Zea mays: one gene and its partners. The protein of the gene in region 1 binds, or shares a complex with, the protein of each later gene. Links are inferred from orthologs where the notes say so. Each region holds a gene or a part of one and is shown in the gene's direction. Other genes may lie near its edges.

Region 1 (6,764 bases):
CATGATATTCTTAGTAATACAAATCATGCCCTTAGCCTTGCTGTTTTGGGGAGAGGTGTACGGACAGGACATCGTAACCGAACACCGTAGGAAAGAAAGAAGGTACAGGAGGAAGAGTTATCAAACTCACGTCCGTTGTCACATTGGACCGCCTTAATGGTGCGATCAAACTAAGTGGAAGCCCATACGGAGAATTTAGAAAGAGTAGAAAAAGTATCGAACATCAAGCGCAAGGGGAATGTCCACGTGTAGTGAGAGCAATCATCAAGAGCCACCAAATAATACTTATAGCCCAAAACATTGAGAACATGTGAGGTCCATAAGTCACAGTGAATAAGATAAAAACATGCACAACTTGGGAGGAGCTAGGGAAGGGAACTCTAACATGAAGACCTAACTGTTAGGCATGAATTGATGCTCATGAGTGCCCCGACTACAAGATCAACACTTAGTGCACTCGGCTAGGATAGAGATGGTGATGGATTGGAAGCGGTTGGTGTAGTGGAAGCTAGAAGCCATTGGGTGTACAAGGGTGGAGCTATCACATCAGACAAGGAGGGTGTCAGTGAAGGCGAGTGTTAGAGTGTGTTCCTATATGTATGTGTAGGTGAGCTGGCACCACTGTTGGGCTGCCGACCCATTAGGGCTGGTTTGGTGGACAGGGAAATGGAGGGGATCCATGGGGGAGGAATCCCCTCGCTATTAAGTGTGTGTTCCTATATGTATGTGTAGGTGGGCTGGCACCACTGTTGGGCTGCCGATCCATTACGGTTAATGTTTCCCTGTGTCTATATATATGTAACCATCCTCTATGTAATACAAGGGGTTCTAGTTTCTTTTAGTGAGGATTGCGACAAGGATGGATTGAGCCGCATCTACGACATGGTGAGGATGGATGTCCGAGTTGGTGGCAGTGCCACCAAATGCAGCAGAGGGGGTTGGGGTAGAGCCGAAATCGATGGTTTAGGCCGGCGGCGCGCCTAGGCTAGCGTGTGGTGGCCTGCAGGGGGCAGCAGAGGTGGAGCATAGGCACAACGCGAGCCTGAAAATCAATGGCCAGGTGGTCAGCATGCCCATCCCTATGGGAGGCACGCCGGTGACGTCCGGAGGCGGCGCCTGGGGGGCGTATCAGGCGGCGGCTGAGACACGGCCGCCGCCGCAACCCCGACGAGGGCCGGGGCGGCTCTGGCTATGCCAACCCACGTGCCTCTCTAGCGAGGAAGGATGGGGGTGAAGAGGAGAGAAAGCATCCCCAGAAGTTGCCGCAACCATGGGATGACCGACCAACAATGGTGGTGCTCGAGAGGGGGTTAGGTGGCAGGGGTAGGGTGGTGGCAGCCAAGTTAGGGCTAACTATCTGATACCATATTGGAAGAGTGTAAATGGATGGCTTATATTAATTGGAAGAGTGCTACACTTTATTAACTAACCAGCCTTGCCTAGGGTTACGTCCCACTAGCAGGCCACATGGGCCGGGCTCTAGTCCCATACACATAAGCAGCACATAACAATCTAACATCTTTTATTATATGCTATTCTGTATGAAAGAGACATTTTATATGTTGATACGTGATGCTTTATTCTTTCTTGGCATAATTTCTGTGTTCTGTGTAGTGTCTTTTCTTCTTTCTCTGTATTCTTGATCATTTGCTAAGCACCTTAATATTGCATTTCTGCTTTCTGATTTTATGGTCCTACAGGTCAGGACACTTCTGGATAAAGCTAACGCTCTATCTAAGATGTGGAATGATGCTCCAGTGATAGTTTGTGGAGATTTTAACTCTACACCCAAGGTAATGTTCTTGTATGGGTCTCTATTTATCTATTTGAGATTACATGGTAATTTACTGTTTTTGTCTAGGTAATGATTAACATAGACAAGTATTTAACTTTTATCTCATTTCTTTCTTATTCAGAGTCCATTGTATAATTTTATGTTGGGGCAAAAGGTAGTGTTTTTTCTCTTCAATCCATTAGTGTCGCTGATTTCATGGGGTTGAAACCTAATAAAGCTTCCAAAATGTGCAGTTGAATTTGTCTGGCCTTGCGAGAAATACTATATCTGGACAGCAAATTGGTGGTAGTTCACAGGGGCTATATACTGGCCCTAATATATCTGGGTGAATCTTCTGCCTTTTGAAATTGTTTACTATTTGTTTTTGGCCAATCTCTTCCTACACTGTAACCTGTCTTTTTCTAATGTTTTATAGATGTGTGATTCTGTCAGGGCCTAAGGAGGCCTAAGGAGGCCCACGGAGGGGCTGCGGCAGCAATAGTGCTGCGGCAGCAGCAACCATGGGCCCTCCAAGGGGGATTAGATAAGGATGGTTATAGATAAGATTAGAAGATTAGTTGAGATTACTTAGGAGATTAGTTGAGATTATCTAGGAAGGTTATCAGTTAGTAGTTGAGAGTTTTTAGAAGAGTTTTAAGGAGATAAGGATCTCTACCTAGATAGGGGCGGACAACTGTCCTATTTATGTAATGAATGGATGAGAAATAAAGTAGTCAAAAATTAGAAGGGAGAAACCCTCCTTGCTCGGCCGTGGGCAGAGGCTCTCGGCCGACGTTCCTGCCCATCAATACCCCTCCAATTCCTCACCGATCTAGCGACCATATCATTTGGTATCAGCGACCTACGATCCTCCGGCCACCATGAGCTCCTCTCCACCAGCACCACCCGCCACCCTGCCGCTCACCTCCCAGCCGCGCACACTGCCGCTTGCATCCACCGCCGGCGCTACCCACCTCCACCGCGCTCGGCAATTCCACCGTCGGTATCTCCACCAACCTTCCCACGATGACAAACGAGCAACTGGCGACGTTCCTTCTCCACTTCTCCAACAATCTGGGAGCCATACAAGCCCAGATGATGGCGCTGCAGTCTGACGTAGCCGTGATGAAGGCCGTCATGATGGGCTCCCAGCCGCCGTCGTCCCTACCTTCGCCATCCGAGGCCGTAGCAGCTCAGTCGTCATTGTCACAGCTGGCCCTAACAGCCACCCCAGCGTCCTTCCAGCCGCCGAGCGTATCGATCCACCAGCTGCACTTTCCGCGATCGTCATCTCAAATTCCGACATGGGCGTTGGGATCAGATCCGCTGCCGATCTACTCGTCAACAACGCCGATCACCACAGCAGTACCGCCGGCGCCGGCGCCTACTACTGCCCTGGGGCCTTGTGGCGGCGCGCAGCCACCGGGCGTCCGGTACTGGGGGGGGGGGGTGGATGGGACCATCCACCTGCAGGCTGCAACACGTGGTTTCCTTGCGTGTCGGCGGGTGAAGCAGGTGATGGGGTGCTCCATTGCGGGGGAGCCGTAGCTGCACCAGCGCGGCCGAGCATTGTGGTGGCTGTTCACCTCCGCATACAAGAGGCTGCAAGACATGACACCCCTCTACAACGCTTCGTCCAGCGTTGGCCCTCATCTGCGGAGACCGGGCAACTACCACGACTACTCTCCTTCGTACGAGGGGACAGCACCAACGTCGGCCTCCACGGGCCCGCCTTCGAAGGCTGCTGTGTCTTTACCTCCGCGGTTCCAGCTCGCGCCCTTCTCTTTAATGTGCAACATTTTCTTGGGACACATGATGATGCTTGCAGTTGCAGTATATCTAGAATAATTAAAAGATGAGCCGAGATGTAAAAGGTTCATTTTTGGTGATATGTTAGGTCATTACAGGTCGTTTGTTGGATGCTGCAGCTCGAGGACGAGCTGCTTGTCAAGGGGGTAGTGTCATGGCCTAAGAAGGCCCATGGAGGGGCTGCGACAGCAGCAACCATGGGCCCTCTAAAGGGGATTAGATAAGGATAGTTAGAGATAAGATTAGAAGATTAGTTGAGATTATTTAGGAGATTAGTTAAGATTATCTAGGAAGGTTATTAGTTAGTAGTTGAGAGTTTTTAGGAGAGTTTTAGGGAGATAAGGATCTCTAGCTAGATAGAGGCGGCCAGCTGGCCTATTTATGTAATGAATGGATGAGAAATAAAGTAGGTAAGAATTAGAAGGGAGAGCTCCCTTCTCTTGCTCGGCCGTGGACAGAGACCCCTGGCCGACATTCCTGCCCATCGATACCCCTCTCCAATCCCTCACCGATCTAGCGACCATAACAGATTCATTGGTTGCTTTCTATTTGTGACAGATCTCATCCACCTTTTTATGCAACCAACAATAAAGTGGGAAACATAACTCTTATAAATGATTCTAAGCCTCAAACGGAAACCACAAAGTTGGTGGAGAATTCTTCCCCTGCCAGGAGAGAACCTGTTTTAACTGACACCTCTTCAGAGTCTGTCTTTGACTCCAAATCAAGTTGCACTTCTAAGCTTGACAAGCAAGGATTATCGAACTTGTTGGAAGATCCTGTAAAGGGTGCCTGTACTTCTGATGCTGATGAAGAGTGTAAACCTGCTGACAAATCCAGCGAAGGGTCTCCTGGACGGATCAAAACTGAATCTGGAGAAGGACATGACATTACAGATGCGCCATCTGCTCCAGCTATCTGTACTGATATCCTTAGGTCAGGTTCATGTAAAATAATTGATAGGATCCAGCTGCTTTCTTCAGACAACTTGGCTGGTGATGTGATTTCAGAAGAACTTACAGATCAACTGTTTACTGTCCCACAAGATAAGCCTCAGGAAAAGGAAAATACCATCGATTCCATGTTGTCTGCTGAAGAGAATTGTGCAGCTAATGAACCAGAGTCATCTCATTTCAATGGTTCTAACTTCTAAGAATGTCGCTGATGCCATTCACCAGATGAACACTGTGAAGCTAGGAGAGAGTAGTAGTGGAGTAGAAGAACCAGTACATCAACCAAATGATGCTGCTTTAGATGCCTGTGTCAATCAATGTTCGGCCGAAGTGATAAAGAGGCATTCAATCTCTTGTAGAAATGAGCCTGAAAACAATGCTTCTGCTTTTGAGGATGATACAACAACGGATGAAGTTACCTAAGAAGATGTTAATTCTGACCCTTCTTTGAGGAGTTGTCTGGTGGTAATGGTCACTTACTTGAAGAGGAAGACCAGCTTCCAGAAACTTCAAATAGTTCACCATCTTCGCAGCAGGTTACTTTAAATGATCCGTTGATATGGCGCCGGCGCCTGGGACTCTTCAACGGTGAGTGGAAAAGGAGATGGGCTTGGGGAATGGAACGCAGGGGGTATGGGGGTAAGGGGGCAGCTAGTGTCACGGCTGGCTGGATCAGCCAGGGTGACCGAAGTATCTGTCCACTAAGGATTAACTTCTTCGATGATTCTCTAGTACAAACTATTGGCTGGCTTTATAGATTATGAGCCACCAAACCTTTCCTATTATTTATCCTAGATATTTGGAAATAGAAATATCAAATCTAAACTTCCTAACAACTCAACCCTTGATTGGAGGAACTGATTTAGCTTCCTAACAACTCAGCCATTGATTGGAGGAATTGATTTATTCAATCAAAACCTTCCTTCTATCCTCTTATTGCTTTCTTGCGTTGGCTCCTTCCTTTCCTACACCTGCTGCTGGCCTTGTGCGCCTTTGATATTGGCGGCCTACAAACTGGCCCACAACATTTCCCTCCATCCCAACAAAGAACTCTTCCGCGAGCTCGAACTCTGGATACCTCTGCTTGAATTCTTCGAGTGGTTCCCAGGAAGCATCTGTCTCAGCACGACCAGACCACTGAACCAACAATTCCCACACACCTCTGTTGAGTCTGGCACGTACCACCTTGGATGGTGTTGGTAGAACACGACCATGCAAGATCACAGGTAATGGTACCACTTGTGGTGGTGCCTCCCCTTCAAATTTCTTCAGCAAGGAAACATGGAAGACATCGTGTATGCGAGCACGAGGTGGCAAATGCAGCTTGTATGAGACCAACCCTACCCGAAGGAGGACCTGGTATGGACCATAGTACTTTGGCCCAAGTTTTGAGGGAGCAGCTAAAGTTAGTCCGACTGCGCTGCTGTAGGCGAAGCCACACCCAACCGCCGACTTGGAACTCCACCTGGCGACGTTTCCTGGTAAGCTTTCATGGTGATTTGTGCCTCAAGAAGACGCTCCCGGATTTCCAACAAGAATTTTCGCGGTCCTGCAGCTAGTGGTCCAGTGCTGCTACCTTAGTGGAGCCTGACTGATAGGACAACAGGGTTGGCGGCTCCAGGCCATAGAGGACACGGAATGGCGAGCACTTGATGGATGTTTGGTATGAAGTATTGTAGCAATATTCGGCCCATGGCAACCACTGCAGCCAGGACTTCAGTCGGTCTCCTGCAAGACACCTCAAATACATGGTGATGACCCGATTTACCACTTCGGATTGACCGTCGGACTGTGGGTGGAATGCTGAGCTCATGTTTAGTTTGACACCGGCCAACTTGAACAATTCAGTCTAGAAAAGACTGGTAAAGATTGTGTCGTGGTCGCTGACGATTGAGCAGGGGAGCCCATGTAAGCGGACGATGTCGTCGAAGAAGGCCCTGGCCACGGACGATGTCGTGTATGGGCGGCGAATAGCGATGAAGTGTGCATACTTCGAGAATCTGTCCACCATAGTAAGGACCACCGTCTTGCCACCAGCACGTGGAAAACCTTCCGCAAAATCCACGGAAATGTCGCTCCAAACCTCCGAAGGGACGGTTAGGGGCTGAAGAAGATCGACGAGATGTAGATGATCGGTCTTGTTCTTCTGGCAATTGGTACACCCGTGCACATAATCGCGGATGCGCTGCAACACGCCGGGGTTGTGGAAGGAGGCGCGCCAGCGGTTG
Region 2 (6,764 bases), on another chromosome or scaffold:
CCAAAGAGGCGAAGCCGCGCGACGAAATGATTATAATCACAAATAACTCACCGCAAAGGGCGCCACCGATGCTAAAGCCACAGACGTCGTGGACAGCTTCCCTCCCTCTCCTTCTCATCCGCCGCTGCTCGAGAACCGCGGCCAGTCCATCTCCTGCCGGTGACCGGCCGCTCTCCTTTGTCCCGTGAGGGCATTCCCACCCCTAACCCTGTCCCTTGTTTCCTCTCTTGCACTCTTCGTTCTAACGCTTCACTGGATACGCAAAATTAGGGTCTGCAAGCGGCGGATGAGCACGCTGGCGCATCCCAGGTTTGCCCCTCTCCCTACGGAGCAAACTGAATCCCAAACAGATGGCGGTCAGTCCTCGTCAGCCCTGAAATCTTAAGGAAACTAATCACTGACACTTGCAACAGTGGAATTTCTGTGTGGTCGATGCTAATATTCGTTTTGGGTTTTGGCTTCCAGGGGCTGCACGGTACCAGTTCCGGCTGGTCTCTTACAACATCTTGGCCCAGGTGTGTCTGTTTTTTTTTCTTAGCTTTCTAGCGAGAAATTTGCTATTTTGCCACTCTCTCCCCGTTTTGGCTCTATGTTATTATGCCATCTCTGTCGGTGGGACCATCCGTGTGGATCATTGGCGGCCAACGGTGCCTAATAGTTTGCTCTGTGCTGCAGGTTTATGTTAAGAGTACGCTTTTTCCTCATTCCCCATCTGCGTGCCTCAAGTAAGCCCTTGATTGATCAGTTGTTTGTGTTGTGTATTGGATTTTCTCTCTCGAAAACGCTGTTTATTGGACTTTCCTTATAGTCATGGTACTTAAGGTTCTAATGCTGTATAGTCATGGTGTCTGAGAAAGTAAGAAATCTTTGGAATTTCCTTATCTAACTATTTTCATGTGACTTACTTGAACTAGGCTTCATAAGTGGAACCAAGTGATATTGAATTATACAAATTTGGTTCCATGAATGATGGGTTACCCAGCAGATCCTAATCAAACTTGATGACATGTTTGCTCAGCAATACAACTTTTAGACTTCTAAAAAGTAGTAATATACTCCCTCGGATTCCGGATTGTAAGTCATTCTGGCTTTTCTAGATGCATATATATATATATATCTTTTGCTATGTACCTAGACATAAGTTATGTTTAGATTCATTGTAAAATCTGTGTCTAAGAGAGCCAAAACGACTTCCAATTTGGAACGAAGGGAGTACTGTTATACTATTTAATTTTCACAACAGATATTGACAACATGGCCCCTAACTTATGTTCCTATTTCATGTTTGCAAAATAGGTGGAAATCTCGATCGGGAGCTATTCTTACAGAACTAAAGAGCTTTGATGCTGACTTCATGTGCATACAGGTTGTCTTATATAAAGTTCTGCAGTGTTTATTATTACTTTGGTTACATTACAGAATATGTTGTCTTTTCAGTTCAAATTTTATTCTTATTATCTAGGGTGTTGTAGCACCACAAAATTTTGCCAATGAATATGAAGAAATCCAACAGATTGTGCTGTTGTGGCAGTGTTGGTCAAGTTTATGAGTCACATCCTACTTCGTGCCATCTTGTCCAAAAAAGGAGAAATCCACTTCTCTTCCTGTCCTCTGAGCCCTCTCTATATTGCTACCTTTCCTGTCTTTGTCCTCTGTCCACAGCTGCTTCTTCTGTTCCTTGGCACCCAGGAGCTTATGGTATGATACTTGTGCTTATGCTGATAATGAGGCAAGGGGTTGCAATATGGAGTAGTAATGGTGTTTATTTCTTTTTTTATCTTATGGAACAATTCCATCCTAACAATCTCACTAGATGGCATGCATGACATGGCAATGTAATGTTGGGCTAGTATGTCTTAATTTTACTTTCCTGTCAGAAACTGGATTTGGATTTTGCCCAACTAGATTTCAGCTATCACATGTAGTTCAAAATTATCGTTGTCCTATTTGTTCACAAACAAGTTTATTGGGATGCTGGTATACCTACTATCAATGGTCAGTCTCTTTTGTGTGGAATGATTTTCTTCTGGTTAATAATTGTAAGCAATATATAATTCATGTGACCTGCGCAGGAGTTGGATGAATATGATACCTTCTATAAGAAAAACATGGAAAACTCTGGATATTCAAGTATTTACATTCAGCGATCTGGAGACAAACGAGATGGCTGTGGTATATTCTATAAACCTAAAAGGTATTAATGTTTTCCCTTGAACATGTCATAACAGCTACTGATCTGAGGAAAAAAGTAACATTTAACCTCACCCATCAAAATATGTGTTCTCTTGCATCCAATGTACTATGGACGATTTCATGGAAAGTGATCATTAATAACTACGTGTCTTCAGTTTGGGAACAATTTCTTTTAAATAAATCATCAGTGATCTAGAAAGTTGAACATGGAACATGTTGGGTCTTCTGGGACTTAGCTTCTTTATGTGTATTGCAAAAGTATTTTTACCTCATCATTTTTCTTTGAATCTCTCTTACCTTTGCAGTGCAGAACTGGTGCAGAAAGAAGTAATACTGTACAATGATTTAGTAGAAAAATATGTTCCTAGTGATAATGTAAATAGTGCTCTGGAAAATAATTCTTCAGCAGAAGAAGGTAATTGGACTTGTATCATACATTCATACTATAATAATATCTGTAAATCACAATGGTGCAAGGATATCAGTATCCCTATCCGTATCCTAGTATTTTAGGATATTATATAATTATATTCTACCGTGTTGGAATGATACCGATCCTCCCGGGTCAAAATGATACCGATCCTACTGAGTATCTTCAATTTCATAGTATCCCAAATTCCTGATCCTATGATTCTACATAAAAAATTCATAGTATCCTGATCCTACCTAAAGGCTCCATATGATTCTACATAAAAATTCATAGCATCCCGATACTATGATCCTACAATACCACATAGTAGTTGATATAAATTACTTTTTAAATGATTTAGTTTTGTCTATGGTAAAGTATTATTTAAAGTTAAGAGGTGTTAAAATAATGTTAAGAATTGCGCTTAAATATATAAACAGTGAAACAAGTTAATCAAAATTAATATTATAGTTGTTCAATCTATATTCTATATAGCATATTACAAATTTTACATAAAATATATAGTTTGTGACATCTGATAGTATCCCAATACTACGATATGATCCTACGATCTAATACTGTCAGCCAAAAAACGATAGTGCCTAGTATCCTGATCCTAACGACCTTGTAGTGGGGTGCTCCGCCATGAATCTTTAAACTTGTAATCTGGGCTAAAAATGCTATTTACAAGCTATATATTGGAGTGGGCTATTTTTTGTTTTGTTTTGTTCTTAATGCTTAATAAATCTATTGCCGGAGATGCATTATATATCAGTGTCTAACGAGTTAGCAAACTCCTCTAACCTCATACTGTTGCTATTTCCTGTACTTTGGATTTATCTCTTGCCTGGTCTGATGCTTGACGTCAATACTTCATGATGTTTTCTCTCTTTTTTCCAGACAAGAATGCAAAGCCAGATAATAGCAAGCGTGGAGATCCAAATGATCCACGCGTTAGATTGAAGCGGGACTGTGTTGGTTTACTCGCGGCTTTCAAGCTTAGTGATCCTTGTGATCAAATTTTGATTGTGGCAAACACACATATTTATTGGCAAGTGAAACAGAATTTTACTCTCTTTGGAATTTGCTTTCACAATTCCCTGCACATTTTTGTTGTTTTTAGTCTCAGCTACATTGTTTGGCAGTTGTCCAGCAAATGTATAAATTTTTGTTTGATGCATAACTCTGTAGGGACCCACAATGGATCGATGTAAAGTTGGCTCAGGCAAAATATCTTCTTTCGAGAGTATCTCAGTTTGAGCAACTCATCTCAAATAAATATAATTGTAAACCTTCAGTGATCATTGCTGGTGACTTCAATTCGACACCTGGTGACAAGGTATGCCTTGCATTTATTTCATTGCTTCCTGAAGCTTATTGACTTGTAAGAACATCATTTCGTGCTTTAGCTATTATTTCTATCTATTGTAATACAAAGTATAGTTAGAACCATCGTAGAGATGATTCTGTGAGGTCATTTTTAATATAAAAATCCAATTATTGGGTGTATTACTTCTTTTTGGACATGTATGGACCGCATGGGATGCAAAACTATCTTATAATGAATGGACTTATGGACGTAGCTGTTAGAATACCCGTTTAGGGTTTGGGGGTTTTCCCTGTGTAATTACTGTCTCGCCCCTCTGTAATGGGCATGACCCAGTACTCAAGTCTATTAATACACCACCCAACCCCTGTTAGGGTTAGGGTTCACATTCCAACATGGTATCAGAGGCAACTTAATTTTTTCTAGCCCCCATCTCCCTCTCGGGCACTGCCAACCCCATTCGCACCACCGCCGCGCCGCCCAAACCCTAGCCGCCGCCGCCATGGTCGCCGTCAACCGCCCCCTCGTCTCCGTGAAGGACCTAGAGGGCGACATGGTAACCGACGCCCCCGGCATCGCCTTACCGCCCGTCTTCGGGGCGCCGATCCGCCTCGACGTGGTCAGGTTCACCCACAAGCTGTTGTCCTGCAACAAGCGTTGCTGGCGTTCTTCGCCCCGTCGACCGGCTGATCCTGGCAGCGGATACGACCTGCACTCCTCCGGACGCATCCCCTGTGCCCTCCTCCGTTCGCGCTGCCCTCGCCGACCCACATTGGCGTCGTGCTATGGAGGAGGAGTACGCAGCCCTCTTGGCCAACCACACCTGGGACCTGGTGCCGTGTCCACCAGACACCAACGTGGTCACCGGCAAGTGGCTATTTCGCCACAAGCTGACCTTGGATGGCTCCCTCGACCGCTACAAGGCCCGTTGGGTCCTTCGGGGCTTCACCCAGCGCCCCGGAGTAGACTACGACGAGACCTTCAGCCCCGTCGTCAAATTCGCCACTGTCCGCGCCGTCCTCTCCCTCGCCCTCTCCCACGATTGGGCGATCCATCAGCTTGACGTCAAGAATGCCTTCCTCCATGGCACTCTGACGGAGACTGTTTACTGCAGCCAGCCCACCGGCTTCGTCGACGCCAATCGTCCGGATCTGGTCTACCGGCTGAACCGATCCCTGTACGGCCTCAAGCAGGCGCCGCGGGCATGGTACAGTCGCTTCGTCTCCTACTTGGCCTCCATCGGCTTCGTCGAGGCCAAGTCGGACACGTCCCTGTTCATCTACCGGCGTGGCGACGACACCGTCTACCTCCTACTCTACGTCGACGACATTGTGCTCACGGCATCCACCGCCGACCTTCTACAGCGCACGATCGTCGCCCTTCAGCGGGAGTTCGCGATGAAGGACCTGGGGCCCCTCCACCACTTCCTCGGCATCACCGCCGAGCGCCGGCCTCAGGGTCTCTTCCTCCACCAGCTCCAGTACGCCATCGACATCCTGGAGCGGGCTGGCATGTCTGACTGCAAGCCCTGCTCCACGCCTGTCGACACTCAGGCAAAGCTCTCTGAGGTCGACGGGCCTCCGGTCGCTGACGCGACGTCCTATCGGAGCCTGACCGGCGCGCTCCAGTACTTCACCTTCTCCAGGCCCGACATCGCCTACGCCGTCCAGCAAGTGTGCCTACATATGCACACTCCGCGGGAGCCCCACCTCACCGCTCTCAAGCGGATACTGCGCTACCTCCGCGGCTCCCTCGACTATGGCCTCCTATTGCGACCATCCCCGACGTCGGAACTCGTGGTCTACACCGACGCTGACTGGGCTGGCTGTCCCGACACGCGCCGGTCCACCTCTGGTTACGCCGTGTTCATGGGCGCCAACCTCGTCTCTTGGGCCGCCAAACGGCAGCCCGTCGTCTCTCGCTCCAGCGCTGAGGCCGAGTACCGCGCCGTGGCCAACAGCGTGGCAGAGGCCTCCTGGCTACGACAACTCCTCCACGAGCTCCACAGTCCCCTTCAGCGCGCCACCCTCGTCTACTGCGACAACGTCAGCGCGGTCTACCTCTCCACCAATCCCGTGCAGCATCAGCGCACGAAGCACGTGGAGATTGACCTGCACTTCGTCCGCGAGCGTGTCGCTGCCGGTGACGTTCGGGTTCTCAGCGTCCCCACCACGCTGCAATTCGCTGACATCTTCACCAAGGGGTTACCGTCGAGTGTATTTTTAGACTTTCGCTCCAGTCTCAACATCTGTACAGGATAGAGTTGTGACTGCGGGGGGTGTTAGAATACCCGTTTAGGGTTTGGGGTTTTTCCCTGTGTAATTACTGTCTCGCCCCTCTGTAATGGACCTGGCCCAGTACTCAAGTCTATTAATACACCACCCAACCCCTGTTAGGGTTAGGATTCACATTCCAACAGTAACTATAGATCCATGCTCTATTGAACGGTACTAGATCAGGCAGCGCCCCTTGGGGCGCCCTATCCAGCTCAAGAGAAAACCAAGAGATAACAATTGGCCATGACATATTCAAATGCAATGGTTATACCAAACAACAGATCATACAAAAGTAATGCATATAATTGACGATGAATCATATAGTCAAGAATGCACAAAACCCTTGAAATGAGATATTAAAACCACATAAACGAAGCATTGCAAAACATGTGAGCCAAAAATGCACAAAAGCCTTGAAATGAGATATTAAAACCACAGAAACGAAGCATTGCAAAACATGTGAGCTATAGTATTTGAAATATCATGGGAAACTAACTAAGATGAATATCCTATTCTTTGGTAAGATATATGTTTGGCTACAGAATAATTTCAAGCTCAA
Region 3 (5,458 bases), on another chromosome or scaffold:
TTAATAATGGACCTACACCTGTGTATCCAACAGGCACTGAGAAGAGTTCTGGTGAAACTTGGTTTGAAGTGGGATGGTCACGAACATATACGGCAACTACTGATGATATTGGACATGTGCTAAGATTTGAATGTATAGTTGTGGATGTGGAAACACGGGGGACTGTGAGAGCTCCTACTTCAGTCATGACATCCCGTGTAATCCCAGCACCGACCCCGACACCACGCCGCTTGATCCCTGTTAATGCAGCTGATGCAATGGTCCACTTCGATTTAGATAGCCGGACTTCTTCTTTTGGGACATTTACTGTGCTGTCCTACAATATTCTTGCTGATACATATGCAACAAGTGATACATACAGCTATTGTCCAACTTGGGCACTTACATGGGCTTATAGAAGGCAAAATTTGTTGCGTGAAATTATTGGTTACCATGCTGATATTATCTGCCTTCAGGAGGTATGAATGCTATTGTTTTTCATGTTTGAAGTTTAAGGCTCTGATTTGCATCTTTAATTGTTAATAAATTGCACTTATTATGTTCAGCATGATGAGTTTAAGAAATTACTATTGATGTTGTTATGTTCCTGTCAATCTGTGATACATTGAGATTGCTCCATTGCTTCATGACACCATCCTTTGGTCTTCTGTTAATTCTGAGTAACTAAATTGTAGTTATAAAAATAATGTTAATGTGATTTCTTCATTAGCCCGACTGCCCGAGGCAGGATAGTTTCCCAGCACCTTTCTGTTGAATGAGAAGTACTATCATAACTTTTTTATCTGCCTTCTGGAGTCCTTAAATTGTTTGATTGTTGTTTCTTGATTGTGCTGCATCCCCCCTTAAACTCATGAAGCATAAAACATAAGTGACACCTGAAATTATTCCCTTTCTCATATGATCAATGTCTCAGAGAGGAAGGAGTCTTTATTTTGTAAGAATCAGTATAAAAGAAAAACCATGCCATTTCTATGCTTCTAAAGGTGATCTATATGTTACTATTTGCAGGTACAAAGTAATCACTTTGAAGATTTTTTTTCACCGGAGCTTGATAAACATGGGTACCAACCTCTATATAAGAAAAGGACGACAGAGGTTTGTTTGGTTCTTTACTGCTTGCTGTAAAACCTTGGTATGGTGTAGTGCGTAATTTGGAATATTGCTGTCACAGGTGTACAGCGGAAGTCCTCAAGCAATTGATGGTTGCGCTACTTTCTTTCGTCGGGACAGATTTTCGCATGTCAAAAAATATGAGGTCAGTGCCTTCTTTTTCCTGCAGTGTTTGAGAGTTGACTTGATACTATCAGCATCTAATGCTTTCTGGACTTTGTTATATGCAGGTCGAGTTCAATAAGGCTGCACAGTCTTTAACTGATGCAATTATTCCTGCCGCTCAAAAAAAGTTAGCTCTAAATCGTTTGGTTAAGGTGCAACCAATATGGGAACTACAAATATACCATAAGTGCTACATGGTCGATCATTACCTTACATCTATTACAATCTCTATCTGCCATGCAGGATAATATTGCGCTAATTGCAGTTTTAGAAGCTAAATTTAGTAACCATGGAACTGAAAACCCTAGTAAAAGGCAACTTCTCTGTGTGGTAAGTGCTTCCTTACTATCGCATATTAGCATCGGTAATATCATCTCTGTGCTGTTTTTAATATAATCAAAATCACTTCCATGAGTCTGGTGAGAACAGCTATGCTGAAAACATGTGGCTAGAATAAGGATGTCATTTAATGCAACCTTTTCAGGTCCGGTTAATGAACACTAGAGCACTAATATGAGTCTCTCATGGTTAGAAAAATAAAATAGAACACCGGATCAGTCATTTTTTTTTAACTTGTGGTGCTCTTGCTATGTCAGGGATCTATTTGCATGTTATCTATATTCATAATAACCCATGGAAATGCTGAGTATCATTAGGTACAACTAGTTATTTGATATCTTTTGGTTTTGAGTTCTTTAGGTTTTGTTGTTATTTTTTGTTGTTGTGAGTACTTGATGGTATCTTTACCCATGAGAATGCTTTCTTTTTTCTCATCAAGGATTCACTCTCATGCCACATAAATTTGGCACTTCTATTTTTTTATCACTTGTTCATTTGGAATTTAGTGATATTGATGAAGATGTTAGCCATAGGATCAAAGCAGGGTGGACGAAATGGTGTCAAGCATCGAGAGTCCTATGTGATAAGAGAGTGCTACAAAAGCTGAAAGGCAAGTTATACAGGACACGATTAGGCCTGCTATGTTATATGGGGTTGAGTGTTGGGCTACTAAGTACTAAGGATGTCATATTTAACAACTATGTGTCGCAGAGAGCCAGAGATGCATATGTTGCGTTGGATATGTGGGCACACAAGATTGGACCGAGTGAGAAATGATGACATTCGCGATCGGCTATGAGTAGCGCCAATTGAAGAAAAACTTATTGAACACCGATTGAGATGGTTTGGGCATGTCCACCAGAGACCCACAAAGTCACCGGTGCACAGAGGCATCATAAGACATGACACTAATATGAAGAGAGGTATAGGGTGGCCAAACTTGACATGGGGGGAGGCAATCGAAAGGGACTTGAAGAAATGGAATATCGCAAAGGAGTTGTGTTTGGATAGAAGGGCTTGGAAATAAGCTATCCACGTGCCTGAACCGTGATTAGGCCTTTTCCATTTTAGTTCTCTCAAAAGCTTTCCCCCTCCCTTTCTCTTTCTTTCTTTTTGGTGACTTCTTGCTGGGTTTCAACTTTAGCCTACCCCAACTTGCTTGGGACTAAAAGGCTATGTTGATGTTGATGTTGATGTTCATTTGGAATTTATTATGGTTAGGCCAGTGTTCATTGGCCATAATTTGCTTGCCATCTTTTTAATAAGCTACCCTAGATGCGGGATCCTTAGAATGAATATAAATGACACGATTTAGCTAGATCCATGCAATGATCAGGTCAGACTGAACTGCTTTGCTAGACATGGGGATAATGGTAATAGTTAGGGGAATAAAAAAGATATTGGAACTTGGAAGACAGGTAAACTGGTCCTCTATGCTTTTTATTCTGGAAGGTGGCCAACCATGTTTTTACATGGCAGAAGTGACAAGAAAACGATTTCACTGAACAGTAGAGCTCTTTTGACTAGATCATGCCAATTGTCCCTCTAATTCTTTTTGTTGGGTTTTTGAATATAGCAATTGATCTTGTTTTATTGTGTGGGTCTTATACCACCTATGTTTATATTTACTTGTTGTATCGGATATAAATATGATCTCTGGTCAAAGTATGTGCTAGCGAAATTCAATAATTTTATTACGATAAAGAAGTAACTTCGATGGTGGTCTATTTGTATCAATTTTACGCTTTACGGATAATGGTGGTCAAAGTTTCTAAAGTTTGGCTATGTCTGCTGTAGGAGGCATCTGTTTTAGACTGGAGATAGTAATATGTTATTCCTTGTGGATCTCATGTTTCTTGATTTTTTGTGCAGGCTAATACACATATAAATATCCACCATGACCTTAAAGATGTGAAGCTATGGCAGGTTCAAATACTTCCCCCTCCCTCTGTATAATTTCATAACATTTTATAATTTCTTTAACTGATGAATCTCATGGCTTGCAAACTCTTGCAGATTCATACCCTCCTAAAAGGGTTGGAAAAAATAGCTGTTAGTGCAGACATTCCAATGTTGGTCTGTGGAGATTTTAATTCAACTCCTGGAAGGTTTGTTAGATTTAGCAGCCCTTCTTTTTTGTTTGTGTTAGAGATTTAGAGTTATTGTCTTTCAGTTTGAATATTTCTACCAAATGGTAAACAATCATGTGGTTCATGTAGTACGTCACATGGGCTTCTTGCAAGGGGCAAAGTTGATCATTTGCATCCAGATCTAGCAATAGATCCTCTTGGAATTTTGCGCCCACTAAGCAAGCTGACACACCAGCTTCCTCTGGTACGTTCAATTTATCATGGATATTACCTATCGGTTTCCTTTTTTTATTCTTGTTGTGGCTCTTAATAAAGTTTTTGCTTGTTCGTAGGTCAGTGCATACTCATCATTCGTGAGTATGGCTGGTGTTGGCTATGATTTGGATCACCAGCGAAGGAGGATGGACCCTGGGACAAATGAGCCATTGTTCACAAATTGCACAAGGGATTTTACCGGTACCCTAGATTACATATTTTACACAGGTTAGTGCTTAAATTCTTGGACTGGTTCAAGCGCTTGCTCTATCTCTTCCCTTTACTTTGGTTCAAGCGCTTGGCCGCTTGCGCTATCTCTTTTCCTTTTAGTTTGGCTATCTCTGTTGATCTGGAATAAGTAGATATTGTGTTAACATTGTCTTTTACAATGTGCTCTTCTATTTCAGCGGATTCATTGACTGTAGAGTCATTATTGGAGCTGTTGGATGAGGATAGCTTGAGAAAAGACACGGCTCTTCCTTCTCCTGAATGGTCATCGGATCATATAGCGCTCCTAGCAGAATTCCGGTGCAAGCTTAGAGTTAGACGATGATACTTTAGGTATGGGGAGAATATTACTATTACTCATTCAATACTGCCTTCGACTTTACTTCCTGTCCCCCATGTTAATGGTCTTTGTAGGGGTAAGTCTTGCCTCGATTATTCCTTCCCCAGACCCCACTCATTGTAGATAATATTAAGGTCTGTCTCTTATATTTTTAAGTTGTATGCTTGATTGTGGAACCCACTGAATGCATGATCTGCTAGAAATTGTGCTAGTATATGTGCCCATGTATTGACCCTGATGATGTTACCATCTATATCTCATATCATACTCGTTTGTGTTTGCCAGGAGGAGCTGTAGGGGAGGGATTCTTGACAATCGCATGAGATGATGAGAATGTACCCTGGCGAAGGCAGGAACGAGAAGCCTAAGGGAAAGAGGCTTGTTATGTTCCTCACCCTTTTACATTTCCGCCTCGATGTTCTCTAGTGGCACTAGTTGGAATGCGACTTCCAATAGAAGATATATTATCAATGCAAAGAGAAATGATTTAATAGATTCGTGTGCCGTTTTAGTTTTCCATCCTCACATTCTCGCCCCCCTCCCCCCCCCCCCCCCCCCCCCCCCCTCTTCAATGTGAGTTCATTGTCCACATTTTTGTTTCCTACCATGAATGTGCTCTAGTTCTTACAAACTAAAAATGGCCCCTTCCATAGTGTATGTATGTCTCTTGAGCAGGGATCAGCTTTGGCGTAGTTTACTGTGTTGAAGATGCTTAGTTGAAAAGTGATGTCGGGTTATCTATGATGGATATTGAACGAATACCTGGTGACTAGAGAGAGCTTCACATTGGGGAAGCTATACTGAATGAAAACTGTGAATTTTGATGTCTCTCTTGCAGTGGTTTCTGAAGCACCCATCTCAATCTATTGTTATATATATATATTTTTATTCCTGAACTTGTTATACAAAGTAATTTGTTTCACATGGCAAT

What was found. Proteins that work in one complex are often made in the same cells at the same time.
Region 2: uncharacterized protein LOC100273526 (region 1) and Carbon catabolite repressor protein 4 homolog 4 share a complex: the UniProt entries of both Arabidopsis thaliana proteins name them as parts of the CCR4-NOT complex. The link is inferred for Zea mays from reciprocal best matches to the Arabidopsis thaliana genes AT5G11350 and AT1G31500.
Region 3: uncharacterized protein LOC100273526 (region 1) and CCR4-NOT transcription complex subunit 6 share a complex: the UniProt entries of both Arabidopsis thaliana proteins name them as parts of the CCR4-NOT complex. The link is inferred for Zea mays from reciprocal best matches to the Arabidopsis thaliana genes AT5G11350 and AT3G58580.

What each region holds. Positions count from the first base shown.
Region 1 is NC_050098.1:230,201,748-230,208,511, reverse strand, and holds part of uncharacterized protein LOC100273526, read left to right. Parts: intron 1-1,700; coding exon 1,701-1,793; intron 1,794-1,916; coding exon 1,917-1,949; intron 1,950-2,028; coding exon 2,029-2,120; intron 2,121-6,764. UniProt on the Arabidopsis thaliana protein: Acts as a catalytic component of the CCR4-NOT core complex, which in the nucleus seems to be a general transcription factor, and in the cytoplasm the major mRNA deadenylase involved in mRNA turnover.
Region 2 is NC_050101.1:154,485,826-154,492,589, reverse strand, and holds part of Carbon catabolite repressor protein 4 homolog 4, read left to right. Parts: intron 1-2; exon of another isoform or gene 3-26; coding exon of another isoform or gene 27-68; coding exon 69-184; intron 185-270; coding exon 271-356; intron 357-465; coding exon 466-515; intron 516-675; coding exon 676-725; intron 726-1,296; coding exon 1,297-1,366; intron 1,367-2,072; coding exon 2,073-2,194; intron 2,195-2,498; coding exon 2,499-2,608; intron 2,609-3,502; coding exon 3,503-3,653; intron 3,654-3,793; coding exon 3,794-3,941; intron 3,942-6,764. UniProt on the Arabidopsis thaliana protein: Acts as a catalytic component of the CCR4-NOT core complex, which in the nucleus seems to be a general transcription factor, and in the cytoplasm the major mRNA deadenylase involved in mRNA turnover.
Region 3 is NC_050096.1:14,207,939-14,213,396, forward strand, and holds the end of CCR4-NOT transcription complex subunit 6, read left to right. Parts: coding exon 1-458; intron 459-1,008; coding exon 1,009-1,095; intron 1,096-1,171; coding exon 1,172-1,255; intron 1,256-1,340; coding exon 1,341-1,427; intron 1,428-1,518; coding exon 1,519-1,605; intron 1,606-3,486; coding exon 3,487-3,540; intron 3,541-3,630; coding exon 3,631-3,722; intron 3,723-3,833; coding exon 3,834-3,948; intron 3,949-4,036; coding exon 4,037-4,187; intron 4,188-4,366; coding exon 4,367-4,512; 3' UTR 4,513-4,520; intron 4,521-4,812; 3' UTR 4,813-5,351; downstream 5,352-5,458. UniProt on the Arabidopsis thaliana protein: Acts as a catalytic component of the CCR4-NOT core complex, which in the nucleus seems to be a general transcription factor, and in the cytoplasm the major mRNA deadenylase involved in mRNA turnover.